Linked DNA regions of Macaca fascicularis. The protein of the gene in region 3 interacts with the protein of the main gene of each other region in a pairwise test. Links are inferred from orthologs where the notes say so. Each region holds a gene or a part of one and is shown on either strand. Other genes may lie near its edges. The genes, in order: CNOT4, RNF167 and UBE2E3.

Region 1 (10,232 bases), on a different chromosome or scaffold from region 3:
AATATTTATCTCCCACGTACCTTTCCTTAAGAAATACTGGAGGGTGTCACGCCAGCAAAATAAGATTTAGGAAAAAAAAAAAAAACTAGGGTATGGGATTTAGTAATATAGGAAGAAGGTCCAAGAAAGGAGAGAGAACAAAGGGAAATATTAGAAATGACTGCTGTGTACCAGATCTGAGTATTGTGATCCATGAAAGCTGTCAGTACCAAGATTCCCACTGCTATTATACCAACAGGCTGCCTAAGTCAGTTTGGTTCAGGCTGCCTTCTGTACTTTCTGATTTTGACCAAGCCTAATGAACTTTCTGTTCTCCCTGCCAAGCCCTGATGAATTAATCAGCTGACACTTGTTTTAAACCCCACCCCTCACCCCAAAGGGTTAAGACACTTAATTCACGAAGCATCTGTGATCTACTCCAGAGGACTGGTGAAAAGCCATGGTGAGCTTTGACACAGGAAACGGACAGCAGACTGATCCTGCAGACCATATTTCTGCCAGGCAACTGGGACTGTGCTTACATGACAAGACCTACCCCAACTGGCAAGCCCTGTTTTCCAGGACTCACGCATAACCTTGGCCACTGCACTTCTCAGAAGAGGATTTCATAAATGATCAGAGACGCTAAAGCCAAGCTATGCCCCAGAAGCTGTTTAGTTTATCTTCTCCTAAAAGCCTTAATCTAATAGTGACAACATTGCCCTTTCCTTCCACAGCTAGGCTTGGGTTTATTACTCAGCTTTTTAAAACTGAACAATATATTATTCAAGGATAGATACACAGCTGACAAAACTCTTGAAGATTAACACAGAAATTAAAATAAAATTTGTAGATGAGGAGGAAAGAAAATGGTCTAATTGGAGAGGGCAAATAGCGGGCTTTTAAGATACTGAGGTTCTTTTTTTTTTTTTTTTTTTTTTTTTTTGAGACAGAGTCATGCTCTTGTTGCCCAAGCTGGAGTGCAATGGCACGATCTCGGCTCACTGCAACCTCTGCCTCTCGGGTTCAAGTGATTCTCCTGCCGCACCCTCCAGAGTAGCTGGAATTACAGGTGCGAGCCACCATGCCGGGCTAATTTTTTTTTTTTTTTTTTCTAGTAGAAACGGGGTTTCACCATGTTAAGGCTGGTCTTGAACTCCTGACCTAAGGTGATCCGCCTGCCTCGGCCTCCCAAAGTGCTGAGATTACAGGCGTGAGCCACCGCACCCGGCCTCTATTTTTAACCTCGGTGGTAGGCACACAGATCATTATTATTTTTATTCTTCATACTTTTTGTAAAGTCATGCTTTCTATAAACTCTTCTGTATGACCGATTAAACATACACACAATTACAGCACAGCCTTATAAGGTGGAAGTTCCCTTCTTTTACAGAAAAAGCAACATTTTTATTGATATGCCCATCTCAGGACTCCCTCCCCACCCCGCAAAGAGCCTTGATTACAATTTACTGGCATCTGAACATTATTTGTGCATTGGTCCATCATTTGGCAGTACAATGTGAAGGTTCAGGAGACTGAAGCAAAGTTCAAGGGCAAAGAGAGCCTGTCATTTCTAGTCCTCTCCACTTACCCAGGGAAATTTTGTTAATTTTACAAAACAATTTACTAACCACTTGGTCACCATCTATTTGTGGTGACATTTATTTGAGAATACCACGTTTAAGTTTCTAAAACTTGTGTTGAAACTTTTTTTTTAACAAATTAAAGTACAGCGTACAGGTAAGGATGAAAAAAACCGAGCTGAAAACACAGAACGTATAATCTCTATCTATCTAGTTGATCCGACAGCTTCCCTTAATGGACATGGCTGAAAATATGCCAGTTCCTGCTTTGGGCTTCTGAATGCAGCCCAAGACAAGACATACAAACCACACAGATCCTGGTGTCTTGTTGGGGAACAGGTAACTTTTATCCCCTACCCTCTTTTGGTCAGTGGTGTGATCATCGCCCCTTCATCAGGTACTTCCTAAAATGGTCAGTCATAAAAGATGTGTCTGCGGATCATCTACATCAGAGTTTCCCGATCTCTTTCCCATCATGGCACTCACAAAGTGGTGCCACTTGTGTGACATAGTGGCTGCTGCTCCCGCCAGGTCTCCCTAAAGAGAATCAACGTCTCAGCATGTCAATAACCTCTCCATTACTGGCACATGAGGCTTCTCAGTTGGGAAGGCTTGGCCTGCATAATACAATAGCAGAAAGAGGAATCTTCTACTAAAAGCCACTGGAAGAGGGTTCTTGAGGACAAGATGGGCTGAACTTCAAGGATGACACTGACTGACAATAAAATCGTTGTTTATCCTCCACTTTCTTCTTCTAAGCCATCCTCCCTCCCTATTGTTGAAGATGTAAAATCAAATGGAAACATCTGATGGCTACTTGTCACAAAATCTTTCAAACTCACATGCAACAAAATGGAAAAACAAAAACAAGAACAACCCAAGTGTCATCATCAAGTTTTCTGTTTTATTTAAGATTTTAGTTTTAATTCTGAAGAAAGAGGTACATTTCCTTGTTTTTAGTTTTAGCGTCAGGTTATAACCAGGTTTTTGTTTTCTTTTCTCCTGTCTTTTCAATACTGCACAAACGTCCAGAAACTACAGGGTTAAGTAAAAGCTGCAGGCAAGGAGGTCAGAGGTTTGCTCCTGATGGTGATCAGATGGCCCCAGAGCAGTGCTATCTCAGAGTGCCCTCGTCAGGTGAATTTACGGTAAAAGAAAAAAGATTCCGACAGAGGAGAAGGACTGAAGAAATCACTTACATTTCAGCTCTTATATTATTAATAGGTATTAAATCTGTGAATACTTTTTTTCTTTAAAACATTTCAATTTACTTTAAATCTAAAGCCAAAAAAATTTTCTCCTTTAAAAAAATTACTTCTCACCTCCTTATAAACTCTTTAGCAATCAGCCAGTTACTACTACAGATGAATTTGTCTTTCCATCAACTTCCAATACATTCTTTTGCTTAACGACACAATCAAGTCCTTGCCATCAACTTGCCAAAATAATTAAAAATTAATTTAAATTAAAAGCATTTTCCCTGCAATAATGATAAGCTGAATACAAGATGGATGCTAGGACCACTGTTTTCCCCCATGCATTTAGCAATCTCACGTAAATGAACCTGGTTTTCAAACTTCTGCAGTTGATAATGCATTTACTTGACCTTTCCTATAGATTAATCGCCATTTTCTGCTAAGCAGATTATGTCATTATTATGCGCAACAGACAAACAATAATTTTCTAAGTATTGAGACTGCCCTTTGATTTTTTTTTCTCTCCTTAAAAAGGCATTTTTAGAAACATTCAACAGTGTCACTCAAATGCTGGATCAACAAAAACTTTTACAATTAATAAAGAGATGGTAATGACCCTGTGATCGCATTGCATCTGGGGGTAGGGAGAAAAAAAATTGATCAGGTACTGGATTCTTCAGAACATAAGAGATGAGAAGGGAGCTGTGGGTGGTGGGCTGAGAGGGAGAAAACAGAGTGGGACAAATCCTGCATTTTCTAATGGTTGCTCCTCTTTGCCTAATGGCGGTCCAGTGTTGAACTCTGTAGTAAATCTGTGGGGGTTTTGCTGGGGGGTCTGAAGGCCGTCTGAAAGCCTGGGGGTGGGGAGTGGAAGCTGGAAGGGTTTGAAGGAGGAGGGTAGGGATTCCAACTGGCTCTGTGCAGCGGGATCTGTGTGCTGAAGGGGGCGCTGTGGTGGGTCTGTGATGGAGCAGCGCTGGGGCCGTCCATCTCTGTGAGGGCCTGAAGGGATTTTAGCCAGTGTGGAGGATTGTCATCTTGAAGAGAGTCTAAACTGTTTCCTGAAGATGCTGGAATACCTAAGGAAAGAAAAGAAAAAAGAGGGAAAATGGTGAGTTTGTGTGGAAAGAACAGGTCATCAAACAAATTTAGAAAACAAAACCAAAAGGAAACACAGAAGAGATTACAATTTTAAACTCCTTCCACATGAGACCTTTTAAACCTTCTGTTCCTTTGATCCTCCCCCAACAACCAAGACTTATTGTCACACAAACCCATGCCTCCTCTTGAACTAGACTTAGTCCCCCACTGTCACAGAGGCACAGCTGCAAAATACCATTCCCCAGAACTGCATGACGGCATTTCCCAATTGTGCTTTTCTTCCTCTGACAGGGATGCGTAACAAGACAGCCTTATAATAGAGAGCTTTATAACAAAAAGTGGAGTATGTTCCTTATAAGAAGAGTAAGTCAGATCCTTTTGTACTTTGAGGCCTACAAAATACACATGTTGCTAGACGTTAACACCTACTTAAACCAGAAGAAGCAACCTAGGCACCAAATGCCTTCTTATTAATACACAACTAGGCCGACAGGTTAAATGAGACTTGCATGACCCCTGAGAACGAAACAAGCCACTCCACACTTGCAGCTTTGTGAAAAGAAGCTTATGTTGAAGAGATCTTGGTTTTTATTTTATCTGTGCTAAAAACCAAACTGTTGGCAGTCAGTGGAGCTGAAGGGAGTGAGAAAGTTACCTGTGATGATGGCTGGGTCTGTCCAGCTGCCAGGGCTGTCCCAACTCAGGCTGTCGGTGGTGGCAGTGTTGGAGGTTGGTGCACTGTGGTTGGCGTTGGAGGGGGAAGAAGAATTGGGCAGTCCACCAAAGTTGATGTTAATGTTGGGTAGAAGTGCCCTTAGCCCGTCCTGCCATTCCTTCATATTTAAACTCTCTACAGAACTGCTGTTGTCTGGGAGATTTACCAACAAAAAAATGAAAGATAAAAAAAAAAAAATAAAAAGCTACGTTAGAAACATATGTTGTTCTTTAGTGGTTAAGCGGGAGAAGAATTATTCTTTCTTTATTGAGCATTTAAAATGGGTTGTCCTAGCAGGATAAACTTCATTAGGATTTTGCTCGTGAGCTGAGAGCCCCTGAAGTAAGTGAGGAAAAACCTGCTCAAGGATCAGGAGAGGGAGCTTCTTGTCTCTCTACAGCCTCTTCACCATTATGGGTTTGTAAATCAATAATCCAGTTTAAAGACTCAATGCTCCAGAGCACAATTTAGTTCCAGCTACATTATGAAGTTTCAGTTAGTGAGGCATTTAGCCAGCTGAGCTGATTTACGCTATAAAAAAGCCAAGTCTGCAAAGTCCAATATAGGAGCTTATTTCTCAGCCCATCAAATGGAAGAAAAGTCATTTTATGAAGAATAAACATAAGCAATAGAAAAAGAAAAATAATTAAGTCCTTCTTGATTATAAAACTGGCAATGTGTTTCAGAAGAGAAAAGCAGTAATGAACAGGCTTTTGAATTTGAAAAGAATGTATTTCCATTTAGTCACTAAGGCCAAGGAGGCAGGAGCTGACACCTTTTAGATGGAATGTCCAACACAGTCTGCCTGCCCTACTCCAACAGTTTGACCGATCATTCACAGCCGGAATCCTGGAGCCCTACAGTTTTCTGGGTCTATTTATGAATCGCATCAAACATGAGAAGACACTAGCAACATAAAAAAGGCTTTTTATAAATTGTGACTAAACTAACTTGATCTACTACCATCCAGAATCCACATAGTATAACTAACTGGTTGGGGGGAAAAGGGTGAAGTATAACAACTACTTAGATAATTGTTTTATTTAACAAATACTTAGATAGCTGTTTTATTGAAAATAGGAATGTAAATCAAATTACAAACGAGTTTTGGAAAAAAGCATAGAAAAATATTTCTGATTCTACAGAACTGATTAGCAATCAACGCTGAGGAGGAGGAAGAGATGGAGGAGGAGGAGGTTCTATCAGGCACGATCTACACTGCTTAGCAAAATCAGGATTTTCTTTTTGTAATTTTGCTTTCCACCAACCACTGATCTATGCCAAATTATATCATGTTTCAACAAGTGAAGCATTTAACTCCATTGACCTTATTTAGAAAAAGACAAAAAACTACAACTAAACTGAACAAAGGTCATCTCTGAACTTACTAAGATGAAGAAAAAGCTCTCTAGGCTACACAAAACAAGACATCAGAAGGGAAAATACATTCTCCAAGCCACTTTCATTTCATAATTGATGTAATTTACTAAACCTCACATTTCTTATATTTGCATATTATTTTACATTTGTATTGATTGTATGGTTTACAAGACACTCTAACAGTCAATTATTTCATTTGATCTTCACAACAGCCCTGAGAGGTAGGCAGAGGAGGATAAACAATCTGCATTTACTAGATAAAGAAACAGACTCAGGAATAATTTGCCCAAGTTCACAAAACTTGTTATTGAGAACCTGAACCTTAACCCTGACAAAAAAAAAAAAAAAAAGCAAGCAAGCTTACTCTCTCTTGATCTACTCTGTACAGACTATTAATTTTTTAAAGGGTCAAATATTAAAGGGAAAGTCCAGGGGAAGATCCACGATTGAAAGGAGGCAAGAGAGAAACACAGAAGCATTATAGTATGCCCACTGGTCATGATTTGAAGAGAGATATTGTGACTCAAGGAAGAAACTGGACTTTGTGGCCAGGAGAAAAAAATTCTAATCAAGAATACAATCGTTAGTTTCCCCCTGGCTCCCTAACTACATGAGACACAAACAAGATCACAAATTTAAGTCCTAGAACACTCTCAATTACAGGAAGGTTTACGGCTATGGAACATTCTAACTTTTAAAGCAGTCAAACTGTCAGGCTGAATAACTTAAAATAGCTTCCAATTAGGCAAAAACAAAACAGGGAAAACTTCCTGGAAGAAAAATAAAATCCCCCAGAAATAGAAAGATGATGTATAACTACATGGGAAAATGTTCAGGAGGATAAATGCTCTTACACCGAGTGGCTAACGTCCCTAAGAAGTCCATGCAAATGATGATCCTCCCTCTTCTACTGACTAGGGAGAGAGAGAATAGCCCATAAGTCAGACCAATCTGCTCCTAACTTTTGCTTTACCATTTAGTGAGCAATGAAACTGAGGAACATTTAATTTTGCATTAACAGAATAACACTTGCATTTACATAAATCTTATTTGAAAATCAGTAATAAAGTCAAAAGACAATAAAGGCAGAGGGGTTATATGAGAACTCTCTGTACTTCCCACTCCATTTTGCTGAGAACCTAAAACTACTCTTAAAAAAGTTTGTTTTAAGGGACATTTGTTCCTGTAATTGTAGACTAATCAAATCAAGCAAGAGTATGTTAGCCAAAGAAATTCACATATGGCACATGATGCAGAAACAGTGAGAAATTTAGATCCCAGGTGCACTATGATTACAGGATACCTTGGGAAATAAATTAGCTAGTTTATAATGCAACAATCTTTACACCCCTCCTCCCCCCAAAACATCATGTGCCTTGACATTTTGGGAGCCTGACAGCATGGGTGTGTGGCTTACAGTAAAGCTGCAAGCGTTACAGGGAAGTAGAATGATGCTTTTAGCTCTTGGAATAGGACCATATTCCATCTAGCTTAGAAGAAAAGAAGTTTATTTCACTGTTTTTTCCACTATTGCTATGCCAAGTGTTGGCACAAAGAAAAGGTGAGAGAAAGGAAATCAGCTTAATCCTAACCCCATCAAAATAGCTCATCTCAGTCCAGCCGTACCTGAAGTCACGTCCTTGACTCCCCATTCCCTCCCAATGACCCAAATTTGTCTTGGCTGCAAGGGCTTCTGGCAATTCCATTCTTTGAAACACACACAGCAGGGTTTATCAACCTCATCACTACTGACAGTTTGAACTACATAATTCTCTGTTGTGGAGCGCTGTCCTGAGCACTGTGGGAGGGTAAGCAGCATTGCCGGCCTCTACCCACTAGAGGCTAGGGGTACCAGCTCCCCAGTTTTGATAGCCAAAATTGTCTTTAGACATTGCAAATGTCTTCTAGGGAAGCAAAATTGCATCCAGTTGAGAACCAGAACCACTGACACAAACGAAGTCGATTCCTTTGCTTCTAGGGCTCTTAAATGATCTAACTTGACTGCACATTTTCCTTTTGAATAGTACCAGGACTTTGACCACTGACTCAACTTGATGCAAGTTCATTTTCTTTTATGTATACAGGACTTCACACTGGAGTACAATTCAACGTGTATAAGTCAGTAGGTTTCATATAGAAAACATTGTAGATAGGTTGTATAAGGCATCTCTACAACTGGCTGTCAATATAATTTAGCCATGTATATCCCAGGACTCCTAATTCATAAGTAAAAATAACACCGGCCTTACTCTCTCATAAGGATAAAAGTAAGAGAAGGAAATGCAATTTGGAGCACATTTATTACTTGCTAAATGCCTAACAACAAATGCTCCACTGGTGGTCAATACTGAATGGATATAAACTTTCCAAGAAGCTAAGGCAGAGTATTTCTTACTGCCAGGAACTAGCCCTGTGTACAAGTCTCCTTTTAGGAACTTAGGAATAGCGCCCATCATTCTCAGCGGTACTGTGAAGTCAATCTAATAATGAGCCTTCTCATTGCTAAAACATTAGAAAGATACCAGAAAGTACTTTAAACTTACCATAAGATGTGAAAAGAGCAAGCAAAGTAAAATAAAAATCAAGTTACCAAACATTTTATATTAAAAACAATACTAATTTTATTTTTAAAGTAATTAGTAATAGTATAATACATCAGGGAAGGAGTGTTTATTCTTAAAGAATTGATAATATATTTAGATGTTTTCTGATGTAAAAAATTTTACTTTATGGCATATAAGTATGTACAACAAAACACTATTTTCAGTTCTAAACAATCTGAGGGCAGGAAAGGGGGTCAAGTTGTTGGTAGTAGTTCTATTTTTCAGTGCAGAACTCAAAGGCACACAATTTAAAGTACTTTCAAGATGCCATGTGCCACACTTTCATATTCTACTGTGTAAGAAGTATCAGTATACTTCGTTTGCCTGCCTCAGAAAACCTCTTATTAAAGAAGAAATTATAGTTAAAATTCTGCTACTTTGCTGGTCAAGGTAGCAGAATCCATAGTAAGCTGATCATGATGCACTAAACAAGTTGACAAGTCTAGTTTTTAGCAACAACAACAAGTTTAAAAAATCAGTATAAAATGCATATATTAAGACCGCCAAGCTAAAAATCAAAGCAACTCTTTACTGAGTGCCTACAGTGTGCGTGGAACATAAAAGCACTTAAATCATGACCTCTGTTTTTAAGGGGCTAAAAGTCTAGACAGTGGGACGATGAAAATACACGAAAAGTTCAACAACTACATCTGAGAAAGCAACAGAAGAAACGCCCAGGGTGGTATATGATTAAAATAAGCTACATAAGTTCAGTAAAAAGACAGGCCAGTTGGGACACGTATGGGAACGTGTTGGTGGGTGAAGAACAGCAGCATTCGTGGAGTTGCCATTTTAGTTACTACATAGCTTTCCCCCTCCTCCCACGCCAAACCTGAAAATCTCACAACAGGTTGAAACTATCTTTAGTATTTCTACATAACACTGTACAAGTCCAACTGTTTACTAGGAAGTACACAGAAAGGCATTTTAAACAATGACTATCTTATAGACTATATTTCAGAATGAATTCTGACATCAGACCTTTCACAGAACACTGCTTGGGCAAGCACACACCGTTAGCATTAATAGCATACAGAGTGGGTATCCCTCCTTTCTGTTCTCCAGGTTAACTGCAATATGTTAATTATTATGAAATGTAAAACTATAAATAGCAAAATGTGGGCAAACCTACTCATAACAGTAACCTGTCACTGGCAATAAGCCAATGAGTTTTTCTAGCTGGCATAAAAAGCTTCACCTGAAAGAATGGAAGTTGAGGGGGCAGGGTACCAGGACAAGGCATCCTTCCTTCCCACCTTGATTTTATGTAGTTTACGTAGGGCACCATGTAAAATTTAATTTGAAAAATAAGATCTGCTGCTAAAAGGGTAAAGACATAGATGATCTCTGCATAATGACAACATATTGAGATAAAACACACGTAAAACAAGCCCCCAAACAAGACAATTCCAGTAGATATGTTTCCACGAATATATTTTTGTGCCATCAAATCAGGATATTGTGCCTTCTTGGAATTCTTGCCTCTATTTTATTTTTGGTACCAACTCCTCAAGGTCTTCTCATCAAACAATAAATACACCCCTACAGGGTGCATTTATCCTCAGCGAGGATGTCGCTCACTGAGAGACCCAGTCACAAAATACACCTAAAAGTGTTTATTCTGCACTTCAGTTTGTGAGCCATATTTAATGGTCATTACCAAAAGGCTCAATAC
Region 2 (10,332 bases), on a different chromosome or scaffold from region 3:
GAACATGGGAGGTGGAAGTTGCAGAGAGCCAAGATTGTGCCACTGAACTCCAGCCTGGGTAACAGAGTGAGGCTCCATCTAAAAAAAAAAAAAAGCCTTCTGGCCGGGTGCAGGGGCTCACACCTGGAATTCCACACTCTGGAAGGCTGAGGCTGGTGGGTTGCTTGGACCCAGGAGTTTGACACCAGGCTTGGCAACATGGCAAAACCTGATCTCTACAAAAAATACAAAATGTCAGCCAGGTGTGGTGACGTGTGCCTGTGGTCCCAGGTACCTGGGTGGCTGAGGAGGGAGGATCACCTGAGCCTGGGAGACGGAGGCTGCAGTGAGCCCTGACTGTGCCACTGTACTCCCGCCTGGGTGACCCAGTGAGAGCCTGTCTCAAAACAACTTGGTTTCTTTCAGTGAAGAGTGGCTGGGGCACCTGTCATGAGAATTCACGAGGCTCCAACTGCCCCTACACTGGTCACAACTTATCCAATAGACCTTCAGTTATAGCCTGCACTTCCCCTGCCTGGGGTGCCTCCTTCTCTCCTCCAGGGCTGGCCACCCACCAGGCCACCCTAGGCATCAGATCCAGCTCAAAAATTGTCATCTTCCTGGAGTTTAACAACAACTGCTGACACCCACCTGGCAGCAGCCTGCAGTACTAGGGGCAAAGGTGGGTGCCTGCTTTGCACCTGCAGTCTCAGAAGTGCAGCTCTCACTGCCCAGGTCAGCAGGACAGCAAGGGGTGGGCCCTGCAGCATGCACCATTTGGTGAGTGTGACTGAATAGTCTTGGGTTTCCTGCTCTCAGGCTGGGACACAGGCAAACGGAACCCCATTTTTCTCATAAATCCTGCCATTCCCTAAACACACTGGTGTGGCTTCCTCTCCTGCCTTGTCTCCAGCCCAATCCAGGGCTTGGGGCCCAGAGAATGGGACCATGGAGACCCCCATCCCCCTCCAGATGGTCCCGGAAGATCTCCCAAACCTGAAAGTCTGACTGCATCTCTCCCCCGGTGGAGGACCAACTCCTGAGCTTGGCAGTCAGGGAGTGCCACGCACTGACCCCATCTGACAGTCCAGCTTCATCTCAAGGCAGATCACAGCCTGTGCTCCAACTATCACAAGCCTATAGATCACCTGCTCCCCGACAGTGTTTTACTCTAGGCCTTTGCCCTCAGTCCAGCCAGGTGTGCTGTCCTTGCCCCCTCCCCAGCCAGTATAACCACTCAGTGTGCAAGTCACTTCTCCCAGGTGAGGTCAGGTGCTTTCCAGGTTACCCTGCAACACTATTGCTACACTGTTTCCCAACTGCTCCTGTATAATCTTGCCTTCTGGACTGGAAACTCCTTAAGGACAAGGTTTAGGCTTCAAGTGTCTTACAATAGCCACTAAGGCCCAGGACAGAGTGTACACGGAGGCAGCAGCAGGGGTGCCACGATGCTGAGCTCCACCTCTTCTGCTGATGAGGCTCTGCCAAAGGGACAGCTCCCACCTGCTGCCTGCCTGTCCCCTAGCCTGGCCAGCACTCCTCAGTTTGACCTTCCCAAGTTCTTTTATGCCCCAAAGAGGTTTTAAGGCTCCTTGAGGGCTGGCCTGGGAACCACACATCTTCTAAAGAAATGGATAAGGTTCTCACTCTCCCCAGCCAAGGACGAAGATCAGGTCTCTGGCCAGCATCCCTCTTTCCTCAAGCTTCCAGTGCCCACCCACTTAAGCCCTGGCCCTCCACCCGCACTGCCTCCACCCCACAATGGTCTTCCTCTCTCAGAGTCTCTTTAACTCCTCCCTCTTTAGGCTGCAGAAGCAGTCATCAGACCGAGGGGCTTTTCCTGGGGATTATGTGAAATGATCTGTGCGTCTGTGGCATTCTTGGGCAAGTGGCTGGAGGAAACACGCTGGGCCTGGGATTTGAGTTTTTCTAGCCCTGTCAGCTGCTGTGGCATGACAGATTTACACAGCATTTGCATAAAACCAGCGGCTGCTTTTTCTTTAACAATTTTTCTTAAAAACTCCAGTTCCTATTCTCCAGGGGCACCAGCTTCTTTGTCCAGTCTCCTCCCCTCTCCTAGCCACCCCCCAGACTCTCCAGATTTGGGGCTGGTGTCATCAATCCGATTTATTAAGTCCTCAGTGAGGGGGAGGAAGGGCCACATCTCCCTCTGTAGGTCCTTTGACCATCTTGATGGCTTCTGCTCCTCCCTATCCCCTCAGTTCTGCCTTGGTTTCCCCAATGAGAAGGGGGATCTTCTGCTGTCCTGTGTGCCCTGAAACTAAAACCCAGGGGGAGGCCAGAAATCCTCAGGAAGTTTTCCAGCTCCCTGCAAGAATAGCCAGGGACAGAGAAATCACAGGATCAGGATGAGCAGGGCAAGCTGGAGCAGGGGGTAGAACAGACCAAGTCCTTTACCGCAGAGGAAGAAACCACACTGTGGAAGGGAAATAAATAGAGGGGTCCAGGGCAGCAGAGCCCAGGCCCCCAGGGCGCAGTGGCCATAGACGCAGCAGGCAAGTGGGAGCCCCCGGCCGCTTCAGCCACTGAGGAAGAGACGCCTGTAGGCCTTGTTCATCTGCTCCAAGAAGATGAAGGTGAGGACGGTGTGGGGACCCAGGCGGGCATAGTACGGTGTGAAGCCCTTCCACAGGCTGAAGAAGCCCTCGTAGCGGACAACCTTGAACAGGACATCCTAGACACAGACAAGCAGGGCGCTGGGGCTGGGACTCTAGGGCCCATCCCCCTTACCCAGCTGCCTTCACACCTTTCCCAGGGGATCTGACACCCCACCCAGGCTCCCAGAATGGCTTCCTCACCAGTCCGTTCTTGTATTCCGGCTTCCCATCAATCATCCGCATGTTCTGGATTCTGAAGGGGAGAAGGCAGGGGCATGAGAGACCGAAAGGACACCTTCCCACCCACCTCCAGGACCAGACTGCACACTCACCGGGTCTTGGCAATATCCACAGGCATGGAGGCAGCAGTGGTGACAAGACCGCTTATCATGCTGGCACAGAAGTGGCACAAGATGTTGTCAGAGAAGTAGCCTGGGGGAGGTGAGGCGGGGGTGGCAGTCAGCTCAGAGGTGGCTCAGGCCAGGCTGGGAGCTAAGGGCCCAGCTCTGGGTCTCACCTGAGTCCAGCAAGAACTGCTTGGATTGGGAGTAGGAGGCCAGCTGGGCAGCATTGACGACGACGGCCCGAGCCATGGTAGGGATGCAGCCCTGGAGGGAGGGGAGCGGGCAAGAGTCAGAAACCCCTAAAACCGGACTTCACAGCCCCCAAGTCTCCAGCCCCTCCACTCACCCGCCACAGGGTGAGGACTCCCTCTTCCCGGGTGATCCGAATCAGGGCATTAAACACATTTTTGTAGCCACGGCGCTGGTCAGCTGGAAGCCTGATAAGAAGGCAGGAAGAGGTCAAGATCAGGATAGCCCACAGGGCCCCACAGATGCAAAGAAAGGAAGGCCAGAACAGGTAAACGCTCTGCTCTAGATGTGGGATAGAAAAGGGGTCCTTTCATTCTAGATTCCAGGGAATGGGGCTGGGGTGAGGCTCAGACTTGGAACTCACCGGCCATCCGCAGTCATGCGGATAAGAGCCACTTCGGCTGGTGTTCCCACAAAGGCACCAGTGGCACCTGCCGTCATGCCAATCAGAGCCTTCAGCAGAAAGCCAGGGGGAGTACCATCAGCCCCAGTCAAGCGCTCAAACAACACGGTATAGATGCCAAGGCGGGTAGTGGTGTAGGTGGCCTGGCGCAGCAGGCCAGCCGACAGCCTGAGGAGCAGAGGGGTCAGCATATCAGGCCAAGGTCTGGAGCTACCAACCCACAGCCTACCCTCCATCCTGAGGCCCCAATACCCGGTGTAAATGCCCCTCAGGCCTTCTGCCTTCAGGATACTGGTGAGGGCATGGAAGCTGGTTTTGTACTCTCGAGTCTTGGCCCCTTCCCCACTCAGCTGCATCCGGTTCTTCACCAGGTCCAGGGGCTGGACAAAAACTGTAGCTCCCATCCTGGGGGAAGATAGAGGTGGAGTGAAGGGATTCACTATTCCAGATCTACCAGTGCCCACTGGAGCCTGGCAGCAAGAGGTTACAAAGGTCAGGGCCTGCCATGCGATTCAAGAATCAGGATGCTGGTGAGCATGTGTATAAGAGTCTATATGTACACCGAGTGCAACGGGTCTGAAAAGTCTAGTTGTCCAGTCGGGGCCATGCAATGCAAGTGCTCCAAGCAGCTTCATGACAGTCAAGCAGTGACCTGGGGCTGCACGCAGTCCGACACAGGGAGGGGACGAAGGGGCATCCAAGATTTAGGACTCCAGGTAGTCCTCCAGGAGCCATTTAATGGCCTGGAATCCCCTGTAGCCCGGCCAAGCTTAGCAATGCGCTGGGAAACTCAGGTGGCCCGGCGGGGATTGTGCAACGACCCCGCATGCAGTCCAGAAGGGGCCTTGCATGGGGCCCTAGCAGCCCATTGGGGAACTCGTAATACGCTGGAGATCACGCTGACCCCGTGCCGGCACAGTTCACTGCAACAGACCCAGAGATGAACCGGGCCCGGTTCCTTGCACCCGTCCCTTCCTCCTCTTTTCCCATCCCTGGGGCCTGAGCTTACCCGGCCAGGCCCCCAAACAGGAACTTGATGGACTTAGGGGAGGTACGGGGCTTCCCGTCCATCCCGCCGGCCCCGGCACTCGCCGTCGCCGCCATCGCCACTCAATGGCCCTCGGCTCCGGGTCCCGTGCGCGCGCGGCCCCGCTCGCGCCCAAGGTGACACCGCGCGCGCAACAGGGCGAGGGCGCGCGCACGCCCCTCCGGCTCTCAGGTCCGGCACCCGCTGGAAGCCGGCGCGGGCGCAGGCGCGCAGCGCAAAGGCGGCCGGGAGTAAGGCGGAGCTGAAGGAGGAGCTTGAGGGAAGCGTGCGAGAAGGGGTGTAACTGATTTAGGAAACCAGAGGAAAGGCGCAGTTTTCACCAAATTGGAATCGCGGGAAAATAGAGATGAGTTTGTCTCAAGGTCTCGCGAGATCGAGTGAGTACGGCTCACCAGAGTAGGAGAGCTCTCGCGATAGACACACCAAGCGTTCAGCAGCGAGGGGACGGGGGAGGTGGGGAGCACTCTCGCGAGATTTGAAGGAGCGGTGGCGGCGGCCAGCGGGAGGAGAGGTTTGTAAACTAGGTGGCTCCAGGTTTCCGGGCACCTTTATTAGGTCGTCTTCTGGGCCACCAGTGCTCCTTCCATCTCCACAGGCACTCCCTCCATCGCTGACCTTTCTTTAACCGGCCTTTTAGGACCGAAAGTTCTTCATCTCAAGCATCAAATGCTGAAAGCGGCCTGACTTTCTCTACCGGAAGCCCTTTTCCAGAGGCTGGGAACACGGCCCACCTGGCAGGAAGTCCCACCTCCTTGAGCTCCGCCACCCTTCCCGAAGTTTTTCTGTCACCTGTGTTAGGCTCCGTACCCTTTCCCCGTTTTATCCCCGTACCAGAAAAGGATACATTTAGTGCCTCTCACCCAGCTCCACTAAACGGGTTGGATATCTCATTCTTTGAGTCGGGGTTCCTTCCCCGGCGCCTCCATGTAGCTGGGAAGTGGGACCTGGGGGTGGTTGGACCCCTGGGATCCTAAAGGAGGGGCAGGGAGGGCGCAGAACTCCGCTTCTGCTCCTTGCTACCAGGACGAGCGGCCTCCTCAGCCTCTTTCCTCCCGCTGCCATGCACCCTGCAGCCTTCCCGCTTCCTGTGGTTGTGGCCGCTGTGCTGTGGGGAGCGGCCCCCATCCGGGGGCTCATTCGAGCGGTGAGTCCGAGGGACGGAGGAGGCAAGGGCGCTGAAGGGAAGGGTTGCAGGCTGAAGGGGAACATTGCCTTTTTTGTCCGCAGACCTCGGACCACAATGCCAGCATGGACTTTGCAGACCTCCCAGCTCTGTTTGGGGCTACCTTGAGCCAAGAGGGACTCCAGGTGATTTTCTTTCTTTTCTTTCTTCCTCTCCTTCCCCCCCTTTCCTTCCTTTTCTGTCTTTTTTCTTTTTTTAATATTTAGCAAGATCTTCCATCCTGGGCTGGGGTTGGGGAGGTTTGTCCTGGGTGAAACTGGAGGTAGGAAAATCAAGTTAGGAACTGAGCACGTATAGTGTAGAATCCAGAATCCAGAGGGAGAAGACAAAGTGTCCACCCCTGGAACTCCGAGGTTATCAGGGAGACTGAAAGTGGACAGAGACGGAAGGTAGGATCAACGGTCCTTATCAAGAGGGTCTCAGAAGCTATTGCTTGTATGACCTTGGGCAAGTTAATTTCTCTTTGAGCCTTAGTTTGTTTTACTGTAAAATGGGATATTTTAAGTTTTCCTAGGGTTATTGTGAAGATTAAATTAGATACGCAATTTTTGTAGTACTTCATCCCAAAGACTGCCACATAGCAAGAACTCAGTTGGGCCGTAGTAGCAGTGGAGTTGTTTGTGAGATGGGTAATTAGAAAATTGAAGAGGCCGGGCGCGGTGACTCACATCTGTAATCCCAGTTCAAGACCAGCCTGGCTAACATAGTGAAACCCTATCTCTACTAAAATTACAAACATTAGCTGTGCATGATGGTGCATGACTGTAGTCCCAACTACTTGGGAGACTGAGGCAGGAGAATCACCTGAACCCGGGAGGTGGAGGTTGCAGTGAGTCGAGATCGCACCACTGCACTCCAGCCTGGGTGGCAGAACGAGACTCCATCTCAAAAAAAGAAAAAGAAAATTGAAGGGAAGGGAGTGTGTTCTGTGTAAGTATTGGAGAGGAAACTGTGAAACAGAACTTGAGAGTCAGAACATTAGAAGGCAAAGTAATTGCATTAGCTTGCGGTTTAGGGTACAGATTAGCCCATCTGGGACAGCGAGAGGGATGATGGGAGAGTTTGGTGAAGGGATGTTTTATGTCATTACCTTTTCAAGAGGCTAAGAGAAAGTTGTGAGGTTGCGATGCTCAGACCCCAGGAAGGAGAAGGAAGTGAGGATAGAGGATGTGCAGCATGTGGGCTGGTGTGTTTGGTGGCCCTTGTAGGAGTGAAACCTAGGGAGGAGAAATCTCACTGTTGTTTGCTTCCATCCTTCAGGGGTTCCTTGTGGAGGCTCACCCAGACAATGCCTGCAGCCCCATTGCCCCACCACCCCCAGCCCCGGTCAATGGGTCAGTCTTTATTGCGCTGCTTCGAAGATTCGACTGCAACTTTGACCTCAAGGTTGCTGAATGTGGAGTGGGAGCTGGGCAGCTGAGGGTAAAAAAAGGCACCAGGAATGAAGACAAGTCAGGCCTATGATGGCTCCTTGTCCTCTGCCTTGTCTTCCTAGGTCCTAAATGCCCAGAAGGCTGGATATGGTGCCGCTGTAGTACACAATGTGAATTCCAATGAACTTCTGAACATGGTGTGGAACAGTGGTAAGGCTGGAGGAATCTATACAGCTGGGCTTTCAGTAGGACCCAGAGATGGTGGGAAGGCTGAAGGTTTCAGGAAAAGCCAATCCTTTAGGTGGGTTGGGGCGAAAGTGCCAGATGCCAGGGTTCCCAAAGGATTTGAGTAGAAGGTTGTGAGTCCCCAGAGTAACACCTTGATCCCTGCAGAGGAAATCCAGCAGCAGATCTGGATCCCATCTGTATTTATTGGGGAGAGAAGCTCCGAGTACCTGCGTGCCCTCTTTGTCTACGAAAAGGGGTAGGACATATGCCTCCTTCCCATTCTTCCTTCAGCAAGCAGTTCCATGCCAACCTGGAGCCCAGGCCTCATTACCCGAACCATTCAGCCTCCTGTCCTTCCTTCCCTGCCTCTTTGACTTTATTCCCATTCCCATCCCCACCTATGGGCTTTGTCCAGAGCCAGTTGCTTTGTCCCTCTGTTTTTCTCCCTTTGCCTTTCTTTCCCTGCTGAGACTGGTCATCCTTTCCCAGGGCTCGGGTGCTTCTGGTTCCAGACAATACCTTCCCCTTGGGCTATTACCTCATCCCTTTCACAGGGATTGTGGGACTGCTGGTTTTGGCCATGGGAGCAGTAATGGTGAGTAGCTGAGGGAACATGATGGGAAGCACTGAGGCCAGACTGGATCTGGAGTTGGGAGTGGCTTGTCCTAGATTGTCTAGTTTTATTCCTAAGCCTTGTCCATCCACCCCCTCTTCCACCAGATAGTTCGTTGTATCCAGCACCGGAAACGGCTCCAGCGGAATCGACTTACCAAAGAGCAACTGAAACAGATTCCTACACATGACTATCAGAAGGGTGAGGGGTTAGGGGAGGAGAGGGTTTTTCCCACCGTTTACCTGGTTCTGAAGGACTTTGAGCCCAGAAGATAGGGTATACAAAGATGGCAGTGGCTGGGCACAGTGGCTCACGTAATCCTAAGTGCCTGTAATCCCAGCACTTTGGAAGGCCGAGGTGGGTAGGTCGCTTGAGCCCAGGAGTTTGAGACCAGCCTGGGCAACATGATGAAACAAAAAAATCCCACCACTTTGGGAGGCTGAGGCAAGTGAATCCCTGGACCCCAGGAGTTCCAGGCCAGCCTGGGCAACGTGGTGAGACCCCATCTCTATAAAATATAACAAAAATTAGCTGAGCATGGTGGTGTGCGCTTGTAGTCCCAGCTACTTGGGAGACTGAGAAAGGAGAATCACTTGAACCAGGAAGGCGGAGGTTGTAGGGGGCTGAGATTGCACCACTGTGCTCCAGCCTGGGCAACAGAGGGAGTCCCTTTCTCAAAAAAATAAAAGTAATAAAGATGGCAGTAAGAAATTTTCAGCTTGAGATGCTGTCTTGTCTTGTTTTTACCCATAAATACAGTGAAGATGGGAGAGATGTAAAGCAAAGATGATTAAGTGAAATAATTGTGGGAAATAATAGAGGGACAGACTTTGCTTATGGGGGATGTGGAGAGCAGAAAAATGGGAGGAATGGGGGAGGATTCAGTTAGAGAAGGAAGAAAGTGGTACTGTGGGGCTGGGGCTTTAGGCCCTGGGGCCTCCAGTGCCCGTATAAGGCTATGGCAGAAGCTCTGCCCATTTCCGTCCCTTCCACTCCGTATCTCCACCCTCACACCTCCCCAAAAACCACTTCCCTTCTTACCTCTGCTTCTCTTTGCTTGTCCCTTTTAGCCCTAAATTCTTCCATGTTCTGCCCTGACCTTATCCTGCCTACCTGTCTTAGCTCTTCCACTGGCTTTGTAGGTGAGGGAAAATTTTCGCAAGGCTTTAAAAGCCTTAGCCCTGGGTCACGATGGCTCAGTGAAGGACTAGATTATTTTCTTTCTGTCCCAGGAGACCAGTATGATGTCTGTGCCATCTGCCTGGATGAATATGAAGATGGAGACAAGCTGCGGGTACTCCCCTGTGCTCATGGTGAGGCCCTCACTGCCTGCCCATGCCCCTCTGCCACTGGCAGCCACCAGGTGCTTCACCTTGTTCCTCTCTGCAGCCTACCACAGCCGCTGCGTGGACCCCTGGCTGACTCAGACCCGGAAGACCTGCCCCATTTGCAAGCAGCCTGTTCATCGTGGTCCTGGGGACGAAGAGCAAGAGGAAGAAGCTCAGGGGCAAGAGGAGGGTGAAGAAGGGGAGCCAAGGGACCACCCTGCTTCCGAAAGGACCCCACTTTTGGGTTCTAGCCCCACTCTTCCCACCTCATTTGGTTCCCTAGCCCCAGCTCCCCTTGTTTTTCCTGGGCCTTCAACAGATCCCCCACCCTCTCCTCCCTCTTCCCCCGTCATCCTGGTCTAATAACCCTCTACATGTACACTTCTGGTGACCTATTTGCACAGACCGTCTTCTTCCCTCCAGTCTTCTAAGTTGAGGGATAGGGGACATTCCATCCTAAGTTGCTCCCTTACCCACACCTATCCTTTTGAGGGGCATTGGGGTGGGGCTGGGGCAAGCAAAGGGACTGGGTCTTCACTTCTTGGGCTAATAAAATTGTTTTTTGTGGACTAAGGAAGGGTGAGATAATTTTTAGGTGAACTTAACCCTTTGGGGGAATCACCCCTTTAGCCATAAGGAGCAAGAGAATGCTGAGACACTAACCTATAGTCATGGGGACAGCCCCAGCAGGCATTTGCTATGACTCAGGGGGAGCCCCACCCACAAGGATGACTCAACTAGCCCTGCCTTGCCTGCAGGCCTGCACCCATTCTCTGGTCCAGATGGCTCTATTCCATTATCCACCAATTTAACCAGCACACTGAGGACTTAGGCCTGGAAATGCCACTGTGGAGGGGCAGGGCCACCTGGCCAGAAGCTCAAATTCTTGCACCTTGTAGTACCTCAACCTTCCTGCTCCCAAGCCATGATAAAGGAGGCAAGTCACAGTGCCTGTCCCCCATTCTG
Region 3 (10,327 bases):
TCATTTATTGCATAATACTTCTTTTTTTGTATGTTTTAGGTAAAATCTCATCTGTTACATAATTAAATGATCTAATTCTTGGTTACATCTTTTTCAGTGATCTATCTGTCCTCGAGCCAGAGCTTGTTTTATTTAATGTGGAGTCTCTTCATATGGCTTTTTTCAGTATTTAAAATTGGTCTTCCCTATTTTTTCTTATATCAACTTTAAAATCCTGACAAATTCTAAAATAGTCTGCTTGAACTTTCATCATTTCTTTTAATTTATGTAATAACTTTAAAAAAACTGTTAAAACAGCATTTATTTTTGCCAAATCTACACCTCTGCATTTATTTACATCTTTTTTTCCCCTCATAAAAGTAGTACCTGCTTATTAAACTAGAAAAATACTGCATATAGTAAAAAGAATATAAAGTTGTTCATATTCATAGTCATTCTAAAATCTAGGTACTGGTCAACCTTTTGTTTTCAGACATTTTTGTTTTGCTTATTGTAAAAATACAATGCATATTAATTCAACAAATATTTATAGAGGATTTACTTTGTGCTCGGTACCTTGAGAGGTATTGAGGCAGGCTCTGATTTCAGTGACTAAAATAGACAAACTTATACCTTAAGTGTATTTTATCATAATCTGTTTTTGTATTTTAGCTTGCTTTGCACAACTGTTATTTTAATAATGGCAAATTTAATTATGTGGGTGAATCAGTATGTGTAATCATTTGCATATTGTTGGACATTTCCAATTTTTCAATATCATTTTTCTCACTTTTAGAATGTTTCCTTAAAGTACATTTCTTGAAATGGAGAAATCTGGTCAAAGGGTATGGCAACATTTAATGCTCCTGAAAAAAACTTCCAAATTGCTTTTTGAAACATGTACCAATTTTCATTGCTACTAGAAACGGGCAAAGGGATTTTTTTTAAAAAACCAATTTTCCAGGAATTATTATAACAACTAAAAATTGTTTTTGCTATTTTGGTAGATATTTCATTTCAACTTTCCTTTCTGGATAACTAGCAAGGCTAAATTTTTGTTATAATGTTAAATATTTCTTTAAAAATCTTTCTGTAATGCCTTTTGACATACTAAGGTGCTCATGGTTTTGTTTCACGTGTACAGGCTCCTTACCATGACATAAGCCTTTCTGGGTATATACCTTCCCTTAGAGTTATCTCAAAAGAGAAATACAGAAAATAATCACTGAGTTATCTGACGTCAAACCAAGGCTTATGCACCTTTCGAACTCCAGGGCTCAGCCCTTGGTGTAGCACACAGCAGGTTTTCCCCTCAGGATGCAGTGGAAGTGCACCCAGATGTCACTGGGTGCACTTGGATTCTGGGGGTCCAAAGACACTGGGACTAACAATGACAAACAAGGCTGTGTAAACTAAGGCTGAGCCAAGAAATACCTTTCTAGTAAACCAATCCAGTGTTTATGGGTAGAAAGAGAAAACTGCTTAGCCAGAGGACTGAGGATACAAGTAACTGGAAAGCATCAGAAACAGCCAGTAAAACTGAAGGGACACTCAGAAAAGTTATTGACTGGAAGGAAACAAAGCACCTTAAAATCAACAAAATAAATTCATATGTATTCTACATCTTCTATGTGTGAGGGATGCTGTTGGTCATGGTGGATGAGTTGAGGTCTATACCCCAGCTTACATAATCATTCAATTAAGAAACTTCTCAGGTAATTCAGTGAGAGATCCTGTGAAATTCTTAGTTACACATACTCACAATTATGTACACAGATAACAGAGACTCATTGAAAGGAAAAGCATCTCCCAAACTACGGAGGTGCAAAGGATTCTGGGGTCTGACTTATTTGCCCTTAGGCAGGCCTCTTTTTGTCACAACATTTGGTGGATAAGGGGATAAGAGATAATCATTGTAATACTGCAATTGGATTCGGCATCTTCCCTCCTACTACTGCCCTTCTCAGGGCTGTGAGTGAGAGGCTGGCAGGACCCCACACCAACAAGAGAAAAGAAAAGAGACTGAGAAGAAACAATCTTTTGTGTGGTAGCTGGTGTCTGCTTGTGAAACTATTCTGAGGGACCTTATGGGAAAAGGGCGCTTTTTATTATATATTTTATGAAATAATTTCATTAGGTCAAATTTATATGCTCCCAAGAGTGCCCGTGAAACATGAACCCTAATTTCAAGGACTGACATAGCAAAAACAAGAGAGAGAGAGAAAATAATTACAAAACAGGTTGTCACATGAGGAAGAACTAAACATTAGAAGCAATTTGTACCTTACAAGTTACGTCTGGTGGAGGTGATGCCATGTCATCTGGGAGAGGAGCTGTGAGTTGAAATCATTTGAGCAACCCCTTGAGTCAGCTGAATGAAGGGAGCCAGGCACCTCACATTGGGGGGGCAGGGCACTACTGCCCCTAACCTCATGGAACCATTCATTATATTTATGGTGACTTTAACAATAGGTATTATTTGTTGAACACCCAAGTTCCAGGTATTTTGCCAAGAGTATTACCTATATTATCTACATTATCACTAGCCCTAGTGCTCTCTCCAGGACTAATCTAATGTTTCCTTCTTTGACGTTTACCTCACGCCCCACAACTCCAACCTGAATTAATAGTTCCATTATTAATTAATTGATGATTAAGAATGCTCTATTCTCATTCACTTCTTTAATATAGCACTTCTCATTCTGCAGGCTACTTTTCTGGCTGCCCCACTACACAATCGAGCTTGGTTAAGAGCATGACCCATGTTTCACTCCAGTTTCCCAAGCAGTTAGTAGATCCTGAATATTCTGTTGGGTGAAAGTTAAGTTAAACTCCATGACTTCAAACTCACCAAAAAATCATGGAATCATGGAATTTTTGAGAAGAGGGTTTAGAACCTTTGATACAATCTCCTTTTACATAAGAGTAATTGAAATAACTTAACTTGCCCAAGGTCATATGAACTTAGTAGAATGAGGATTAGAATACACTTACCTTGCTTTTCAACCCAATACTATTTCTGAAGACGTTACCAAACACAACTAAATATCTTTCTCCCCTAAGCTCCTCACCCCACTAAATCCTATCAGCAACTGGCCTTTGGGCCTTCAGGCTATTTCTGTGTTCTTAAATTTCCTAAAAGAACCCATGTTTAGCATACAGCTTTCCTTTTATATCTCCCCATTCCAAACAAAGCAAAGCTTGAACTCCAAATTGTCTGGCTTTTGCTGTAACATCACATCGTGTAAAGCTGGGGGAAAATTCTGCGTTTATTTTCACTAACAAGCTTTTCCCACAAGCACTCTTTGACCCAGCCAAATCAAAATGCTCGTCCACAGACCGACCATGCTCTTTTTTGAGGCATGAGTTATTCTATCTGTTCATTCTGAGTGGAATATCCTTACTGCTTATGAATCTAGTGAACTTTAATGAACTGTTCCCCTTCTGGATGAGGAGCTCTTAGCACAGAGTAGAGACCTGGCTTTAGTCACACAGCAACTGAATGAGTGTGTCCAGCACCTAGCAACATAGAGCCCTCAATAAAGTTAACTGAATGACTGTGTCTTTGGAAAATTACGTAAATGTAACTTATTCTTTAGAGTTGTTATCAAGCTTTTACCAAAAGTTTTCTATTAGGAGAAATAATAAGCAAATAGTTGGCTCACTCAGTCTTTTCGTCTTTCCCTTAACTCTGGTACATGTTTTGACTCTGCCATTCTCACTCCCTCTGTGAACTGCACATTCTCACAGCACCCCTGCCCCTGGACACTTGTGGGAGAGGAATCCACAAATTCCTTTGAGGCTCCATCACCGGAACAAGTTCTCAGTAGCTGGAGAAGGTCTGGGCGGCAAACAGGAAGTTTTTGTATTCTGGCTACTTTGTGCCGCGGGGTAAAAACCGCACAGTCCACCTGGAGACTGCAAAAAGAATGGTAGAACAAACAAAACTGTCACTATCTCCACCTAAAGCTTTTCTGGGTGGACATTCTGACCCACCATCACTCAGGACTTCTTTCCAGAACTGGCACCTCGTGCAAGGCAGAAGAGTCCCGCAGAAAAGTGTCATGTATTTAGCTCTCATCGCCACCCCACAACCCCAAACTCTTCTCCTTCACTTTTAAGAATGTTGAGCGGGACATTTTAAACACTGTTTTGGATTTTTAAGGTTTCAAAGCATCCGAAGGACGGTCTCTTTTGGCAGCGACAGTTGCAAGCTGTGAGCCAAAAATAAATAGAGGTTGGTCCCCTAATCAACAAATATATTCTACTCTCTTCAATGCCCAGGACCCCACCTTGTCCCTTCCTCCAGCTTACACGAGGGGCAAGTGGCAGCTCTTCTCCGCCTGCGTGCCTGGCCTCGCCAACAACACCCATTAGTCTCCCGTCTCCCGGGGCGGCGGGGGACTCCCAACCACGCGCCCAGGGCCCTTTCCCAGGTACTGGGGCCCCGGGAGCCACGACGTCCCCCACGCAGGCGGACGGGATGGAACTAGCCCTGGGGACGCGGGTAGCCCAATGGGCAGCCTCCGCCCGGAGGCGGGCCCAGGCCGGAAGCCACCCCGCGGCACAGCGGCCCCACGATACGGTGCCCGCGCCCCCGCCTTCTCTGGCACAGGCTCCGCGGCCAAGGGCGGCAGGGGCCAGCCCGCCAGGTCCCCGCCGCGCTCTTTGTCCTGGCCGCGCGCGGGCGGACGCGTGCACCCCCCGGGTGAGGGGAGGTGCGGGGAGCGCGCGCGGGAGCGCGCGGGAACAGCTCGCGCCCGCCGGGCGCCGGCGGCGCGCGCCCCTCCGCCAGGCAAGCAGCGAGCACGCGCGCCGCCGCCGCGCCCGCCCCTCCCCCCGCGTTCGCCTCGGAACTTGCTGACTGCGCGGCCGGGAGGAGCCGAGCCGGGCGGCGGCGGCGGGAGGCCACAGCGCGCGGGGGTCTCCCGCGTCCCCTCCGCCTCGCCGGGAGCTCGCGCCCTCGCCCAGCCGAGCTCCCACCCCCCCTTTTTTCCGAAGGCGCTGGGCGGCGCCACCCTCCGGCCGGAGCCCGGCACTGCACAACCCCCTCCGACTTTCAATGTTCCACACTCCCCGGCCAGAGCCTCCTCGGCTTCTTTTTTTCCCTCCCCCCCCTTCCCCCCCCCACAGCTGCCTCCATTTCCTTAAGGAAGGGTTTTTTTCTCTCTCCCTCCCCCACACCGTAGCGGCGCGCGAGCGGGCCGGGCGGGCGGCCGAGGTAAGGCGGAGGGGCCGGGGGGCCGCGTGGGGGGCGGCCGGGGCGGCGGCGGCTGCGGTGGGGGAGGGGGCGGGGGCGGGCAGCTTTGTTCGCGCCGGGCGCCCGCGCCGCCGGTGTCCGCGAGCCGCGGCGGGGCCGGCCGGGCTGCTCGCATCACTTGGCGCCCGGCGCGGCGAGCGCTGCCCGCGGCCCCCGCGCGGCCCTCCCCACAAAGGGCCGCGGAGCTGCGTGGCCGCCGCCGCCGGCCGCGACTCGCCTCCGCGGGCGCGGAAATTTGTTGCACTTCTTGGGGCTTTGTTTGTTTGTTTGTTTTTCCTCTGGGTTTCTTATTTTTTTCGTTATTTTGGACAAAATGTCGGTCCGTGATGTAAAAATTGAGCGAGGAACCTTGGTGGCATTGGGAGCTTTGCAGAAGGTGCAGTTTGAATTCTGCTTTTCCCAGGGTGGCAGCTAGGTCTTGGCCGGATGAATCTTCGCTGCTGGCGGTGGAAACAGCTAGAGGAGCTCGTTAGTTGATTTTTAAATTTCCAAGTGTTGTGTTTAAAGCCTTTACGTGCACTGAGAAGGAATCGCCACCTTAAATAAGCATATGGGCGATTAACAGGGTGTGTTTTCCTCTCGGAAAGGGAATTTGGTAGCTTTGACCAATGTCAGTGTGTAAATATTTAGACGTTATTAGTGACTTTTAAACATTTTTTCAGCGAGATCTGTTATTTACAGTATGTCATATGTTATTAATGCTTGTTGCCTAAGTTCCTTGGCAAATCTGTTTCATGCCTTCTGAGAAAGTAGACAATTGATAGATTGTCCAAGAGATGGAAAAAAATGTGAGTGGGTTTTCTAACTTGAGTTCGGCAAATCCCTGAACGCTGGCGTTGTGTGACACATCACCTCCCTTGTAACCCTTGTTGTATGATGAAATAAGTGTGAACACTTTTGAAGCTTTTTCATTACAATACGATATTAGATGAATAGAAGAAAATGCTGTTGGTTTATTTCCTAGATTTAACATTTTCTCCCCATCCTCCCCTGTTCTCTTTAAAAGTTTTCCAAGAGATAACTTCACCAAGATGTCCAGTGATAGGCAAAGGTCCGATGATGAGAGCCCCAGCACCAGCAGTGGCAGTTCAGATGCGGACCAGCGAGACCCAGCCGCTCCAGAGCCTGAAGAACAAGAGGAAAGAAAACCTTCTGCCGCCCAGCAGAAGAAAAACACCAAACTCTCTAGCAAAACCACTGCTAAGTTATCCACTAGTGCTAAAAGGTAATGTGTAAAAGAAGGATCCAGCACACTTTGTCAGGTTGTCTTCCAGGTGGTTGGACGCTTTTGTTGGTTTTACATCAGTAGCAATAGTTCAGAAATATTTACTTCATTATCAGTTTATTTGTACTTGAATGAGTTGTCATTCTTTAGGTGGTATGTATGCAACCTTGCTAGAATTATGCTTTTAAGCAAACTTATTCTGTACTTCGGTAACTTCAGTTGAGTATCCTTGAGTAGAGATTAGACTAACATTCTGACAGATTGTTTAAGGAGTTGGCAAGGAAAATTTGGTGAACCCAAATTAGATGGTACTTTGGGGATGTTTCCTTTTATGAGTCATAATCTTCTTTAATGAAATTGACACTTCCAGAGATTAGCAGGGCCTCTCTTCATGAAACTTAATGATCAGAAATGATCATATTTGCTAGAAAATTGCAAATTCAGGCCTTTGCTATGTTTGAAAGCAGATTTAAAATCGTGCTGCAAATCTGCTTACAGTTTTACAAAACATGACTTTAAATCATGTATCACAGGTAACTTTCGTGGTTAAATTATGATTATCCCTCCCTGTGCTTGTGAGGGCAAATCAAACTGAAAAGTAGCCCTTTACAATTTGAGGTGTCACTGGTGATAGAAAACTTTCATTGTCCTTGGACCTCTTCACTCTGAAACTTGTGGATGTGCTTGACAAGTTAATACTCAACAGCAGGAGAAACATATTTAATTGGATGTAAGTGGAAGATCATTTGTTTCCTATTGATTTATATTTTCTGATAGAGAAGAAAAGATTCTGTCAATGAGACTCTGTCAGTGGTAGTAGTAGTGGAACATCCACAAACTCTAGTAATTATACATAAAATGTATAATCTCTACAGCGTTAGCCAATGTTGACATTTTGTTAATTTTTATTGATCACAACTAAAGGAAAAAATATTTCTACAAATACTGCATTCTGTGGTGATTCATAAATACTCATATTTTTCTATGGATTTTCACCTTTATTGTCTCAGTAATGATGTATTAATAACTTGAGAATATTTTTGAATGGCAGCAGTCTTTGACATAATATAAAATCCTTCTCAATTTGGTATAGTGTTGATGCAGAACATATTAGACACGTCTAAAGTTTTGAAAGCATCTTAAATTTGAATCAAATCAGAGAACTGCTTTTCTCCCCCTTAACTCAGGCCTATGTATTTTCTCTTTCTGTCAATATTTACTAAATTTAAGTGCTGTGCCTATGATCAGGGAAAACAGAAATGGGTAAATTAGAATGTCATGTAGTCTTCGAAAGTTTTTCACCAGTAAAGATATTTGTAAATTTTAAACTTTTTTTTTGACAGATAAAATATTGTCAGAACTGTTAATGTGCTGTTGCAGTAGCCTGTTAATTTTTACCTCAGTAAAAGTCACTCGAAGTCCTTGTCAAATATTCCAGTGCTTTCCCTCCTCCCTTTTTGTCTCATTTGCATATAAGCTTGAAAAGAGAATTTCTTTGGTAAAAAGTGTTTTGAAATAGATATTATATTCTTTACTGAGTACTAGTGGATGAGTATTTCTCAAATCAAGTGTAAATGACTTACTTATTTGCAGCAGCAAGTGAGAAAAAAAGCTGCAAAGTTTCTGTTAAGGGATTTGGGTTATGCCTCTGAGAACAAAGAGGAAGCAGCCATGTTAGCATTACTGAAGGCAGAGCCAGCCTTGCATTTAACTGCATGATGGTAGAGGGCAGTGTAATTCCCTGGTTATTCTGTAGACTATCTCAAATCCTTTTTGTCTCTTCTCATTTCACTAACAGAATTCAGAAGGAGCTAGCTGAAATAACCCTTGATCCTCCTCCTAATTGCAGGTAAGAAATGAATTTTGTTGTTTCGGTTTCAAATTGTGGAAAAATATCAAGAGATTGATGTATTGTCTGGATATGTGTGCAGCAGAGGAGACAACGTTTGCTTCTTTACAGCTTTGCAAGTGCATTAAACAAAAATTGTAGAAGGTGAACTAGATAAAATTGGGAGAAAAATACTTTTTAGCATAAGTATACTTTGTGGATTTATGAATATACTGATTTTGTGCTTCTGAGATTCTTATGAATGGTGCTGATTTTTGTTCTGATGTATTTCTGTAGAGGGTGTTTATTCAGAAGTATACTGAAGAAACTTCTAAAATTTTGCTCAGCTTTAAAGTTACTGCTTGTGTGCAGTCTGTACTGACCTTCCCTATTTAGAAATTGCTGAATGTGGTGTTACAAAATGTAAATGCAGTAAACAAGCATATAGTTGGTTCTGTTTGATTTATTCAGTTACTAGCCTTAAGGATAAATTTTATGGGCTAAGCTAATGGTTTTAGTCCTCGTTTTCTACAGAATGCATTGTTGGAATTATTTACGTTTTAAGCCAATGTCCTGATGGCTTGAGGAAATTTTTAGTAATTTTGGTAGTTGGAATTTGTGTATGAAAAGCAGTAAATGAATTGGAATTGTGAGAATTCATTTCAGTGGAACTCAGGTAGATGAATTTAAGATTATTGGTTGGTATAAGATACATTAAAAGTATCTGGTTGAGTATTTTTTCTCCAATAATTTTTTTCATTTCATTTGTATAGCGCTCTATTCTTTTTTAAATGACTATATGGCTTACAAAATTGAACACACATAGAAAACAATATTGTAGATAATTTGTGAAGAGATATGTGCCCAATAATGCGAACGGCTGCAAGAAATAAGGCAGTTTTATGGTTTGATAGGAAAATGTTTTCGTGTTTAACCTGTATTTCTGTTACAAGTTGTATTCACTTGGGATGATAGACCCTATCTCTGAAGTCTACTTGTGATATATAATAGGGTATAATCCAATTGCTTCTTACTGTGTATGTTAACTGGATCCTCAGATAAGGTGATTTGATCCTGATTTATCCATTGAATGAACAGTTTGCTTGTATTTGTAATTTCAGTTCAAACAGGAAACATGAATGTAAACTAATTTTAAGGAGATAGTGGTATGTGAGATCTCAAAGTATTACTTAAGAGCTGTGCTGTCCAGTAACGTCACCACTTGCCACATGTGGCTGTTGACCTCTTCGGTTGTGGCTAGTCCAAAATGAGATGTGGTATAAGGGTAAAATTTATACACATTGGATTTTGAAAACTTTGTACAACAAAAGAGTGTATAATATTGCATTGACTTAAAAAATATGTTCATTGCATGTTAAAATAATATTTTGGATGTATCTGGCTATATAAAATGTTATTAAAATGAATTTCAATTTTTTACTATTTTAATATGGTTATTGGAATATTTAAAATTACATATGTGACTTGCATTATATTTCTATTGAACAGTGCTGCTTTAGAGAACAAGCAAATCAAAGTATTTTCCCTCCAGCCTTCTAAATGGTGTGTCAAATCTGTAGCCATTTAGGGAGGTCAAGTTAAATTTGCTCGCTGGAAGAATCACTTAACTTGCAGAGTGTGTTCTGATATTTCCCATTATGAAAAATGTAAAGATCTATCAATTCAGAACTCTTAAATGTTTTAAAATTGCATGTAAGGTCAAACATTTTTAAAGGTTTCTGTTGATTTTCTGCAAATGGAAGAAACTAATGTATATGCATAAATCTAGAAAGCCTAGTAGACATGTGTTGAGTGCCCTCAGAGCAATAGCCTGCTGTTGCAGTTACCAGAGAAATCTGCTTTACATGTTTAACTTGGGAATGTTTCCTCAAGGTCACTGAGGATTATTTTAGAGGGAGTAGAATCTTTCCACGAGATAGGTGGTTTCACTTGTCTTTCTCTTTATATACCAGATTTCATTTAAGTCCTTGAAATAATGCTTCCTCATTTAGTGATTAGACTAGTGAAACATCAA

Evidence for each region.
Region 1: the proteins of UBE2E3 (region 3) and CNOT4 interact in a two-hybrid assay, tested with the Homo sapiens proteins (3 studies listed by BioGRID and IntAct). The link is inferred for Macaca fascicularis from reciprocal best matches to the Homo sapiens genes UBE2E3 and CNOT4.
Region 2: the proteins of UBE2E3 (region 3) and RNF167 interact in a two-hybrid assay, tested with the Homo sapiens proteins (2 studies listed by BioGRID and IntAct). The link is inferred for Macaca fascicularis from reciprocal best matches to the Homo sapiens genes UBE2E3 and RNF167.

Annotation. Positions count from the first base shown.
Region 1 is NC_088377.1:177,038,309-177,048,540, forward strand, and holds the end of CNOT4 (CCR4-NOT transcription complex subunit 4), read right to left. Parts: intron 4,728-10,232; coding exon 4,515-4,727; intron 3,838-4,514; coding exon 3,536-3,837; 3' UTR 2,445-3,535; downstream 1-2,444. UniProt on the Homo sapiens protein: Has E3 ubiquitin ligase activity, promoting ubiquitination and degradation of target proteins. Involved in activation of the JAK/STAT pathway. Catalyzes ubiquitination of methylated RBM15.
Region 2 is NC_088390.1:5,053,946-5,064,277, forward strand, and holds RNF167 (E3 ubiquitin-protein ligase RNF167), read left to right. Parts: upstream 1-5,589; 5' UTR 5,590-5,701; coding exon 5,702-5,785; intron 5,786-5,868; coding exon 5,869-5,949; intron 5,950-7,084; coding exon 7,085-7,210; intron 7,211-7,319; coding exon 7,320-7,407; intron 7,408-7,590; coding exon 7,591-7,681; intron 7,682-7,914; coding exon 7,915-8,020; intron 8,021-8,145; coding exon 8,146-8,239; intron 8,240-9,108; coding exon 9,109-9,180; intron 9,181-9,270; coding exon 9,271-9,351; intron 9,352-9,427; coding exon 9,428-9,729; 3' UTR 9,730-9,939; downstream 9,940-10,332. Other genes in the region: SLC25A11 (mitochondrial 2-oxoglutarate/malate carrier protein), read right to left, coding at 2,519-2,674, 2,799-2,850, 2,930-3,029, 3,115-3,205, 3,288-3,378, 3,555-3,761, 3,846-3,998, 4,603-4,697.
Region 3 is NC_088386.1:76,482,907-76,493,233, forward strand, and holds the start of UBE2E3 (ubiquitin-conjugating enzyme E2 E3), read left to right. Parts: upstream 1-5,707; intron 5,708-6,045; coding exon of another isoform or gene 6,046-6,088; intron 6,089-6,245; 5' UTR 6,246-6,270; coding exon 6,271-6,464; intron 6,465-8,262; coding exon 8,263-8,313; intron 8,314-10,327. Other genes in the region: uncharacterized protein, read right to left, coding at 4,120-5,525, 6,046-6,088. UniProt on the Homo sapiens protein: Accepts ubiquitin from the E1 complex and catalyzes its covalent attachment to other proteins. In vitro catalyzes 'Lys-11'- and 'Lys-48'-, as well as 'Lys-63'-linked polyubiquitination.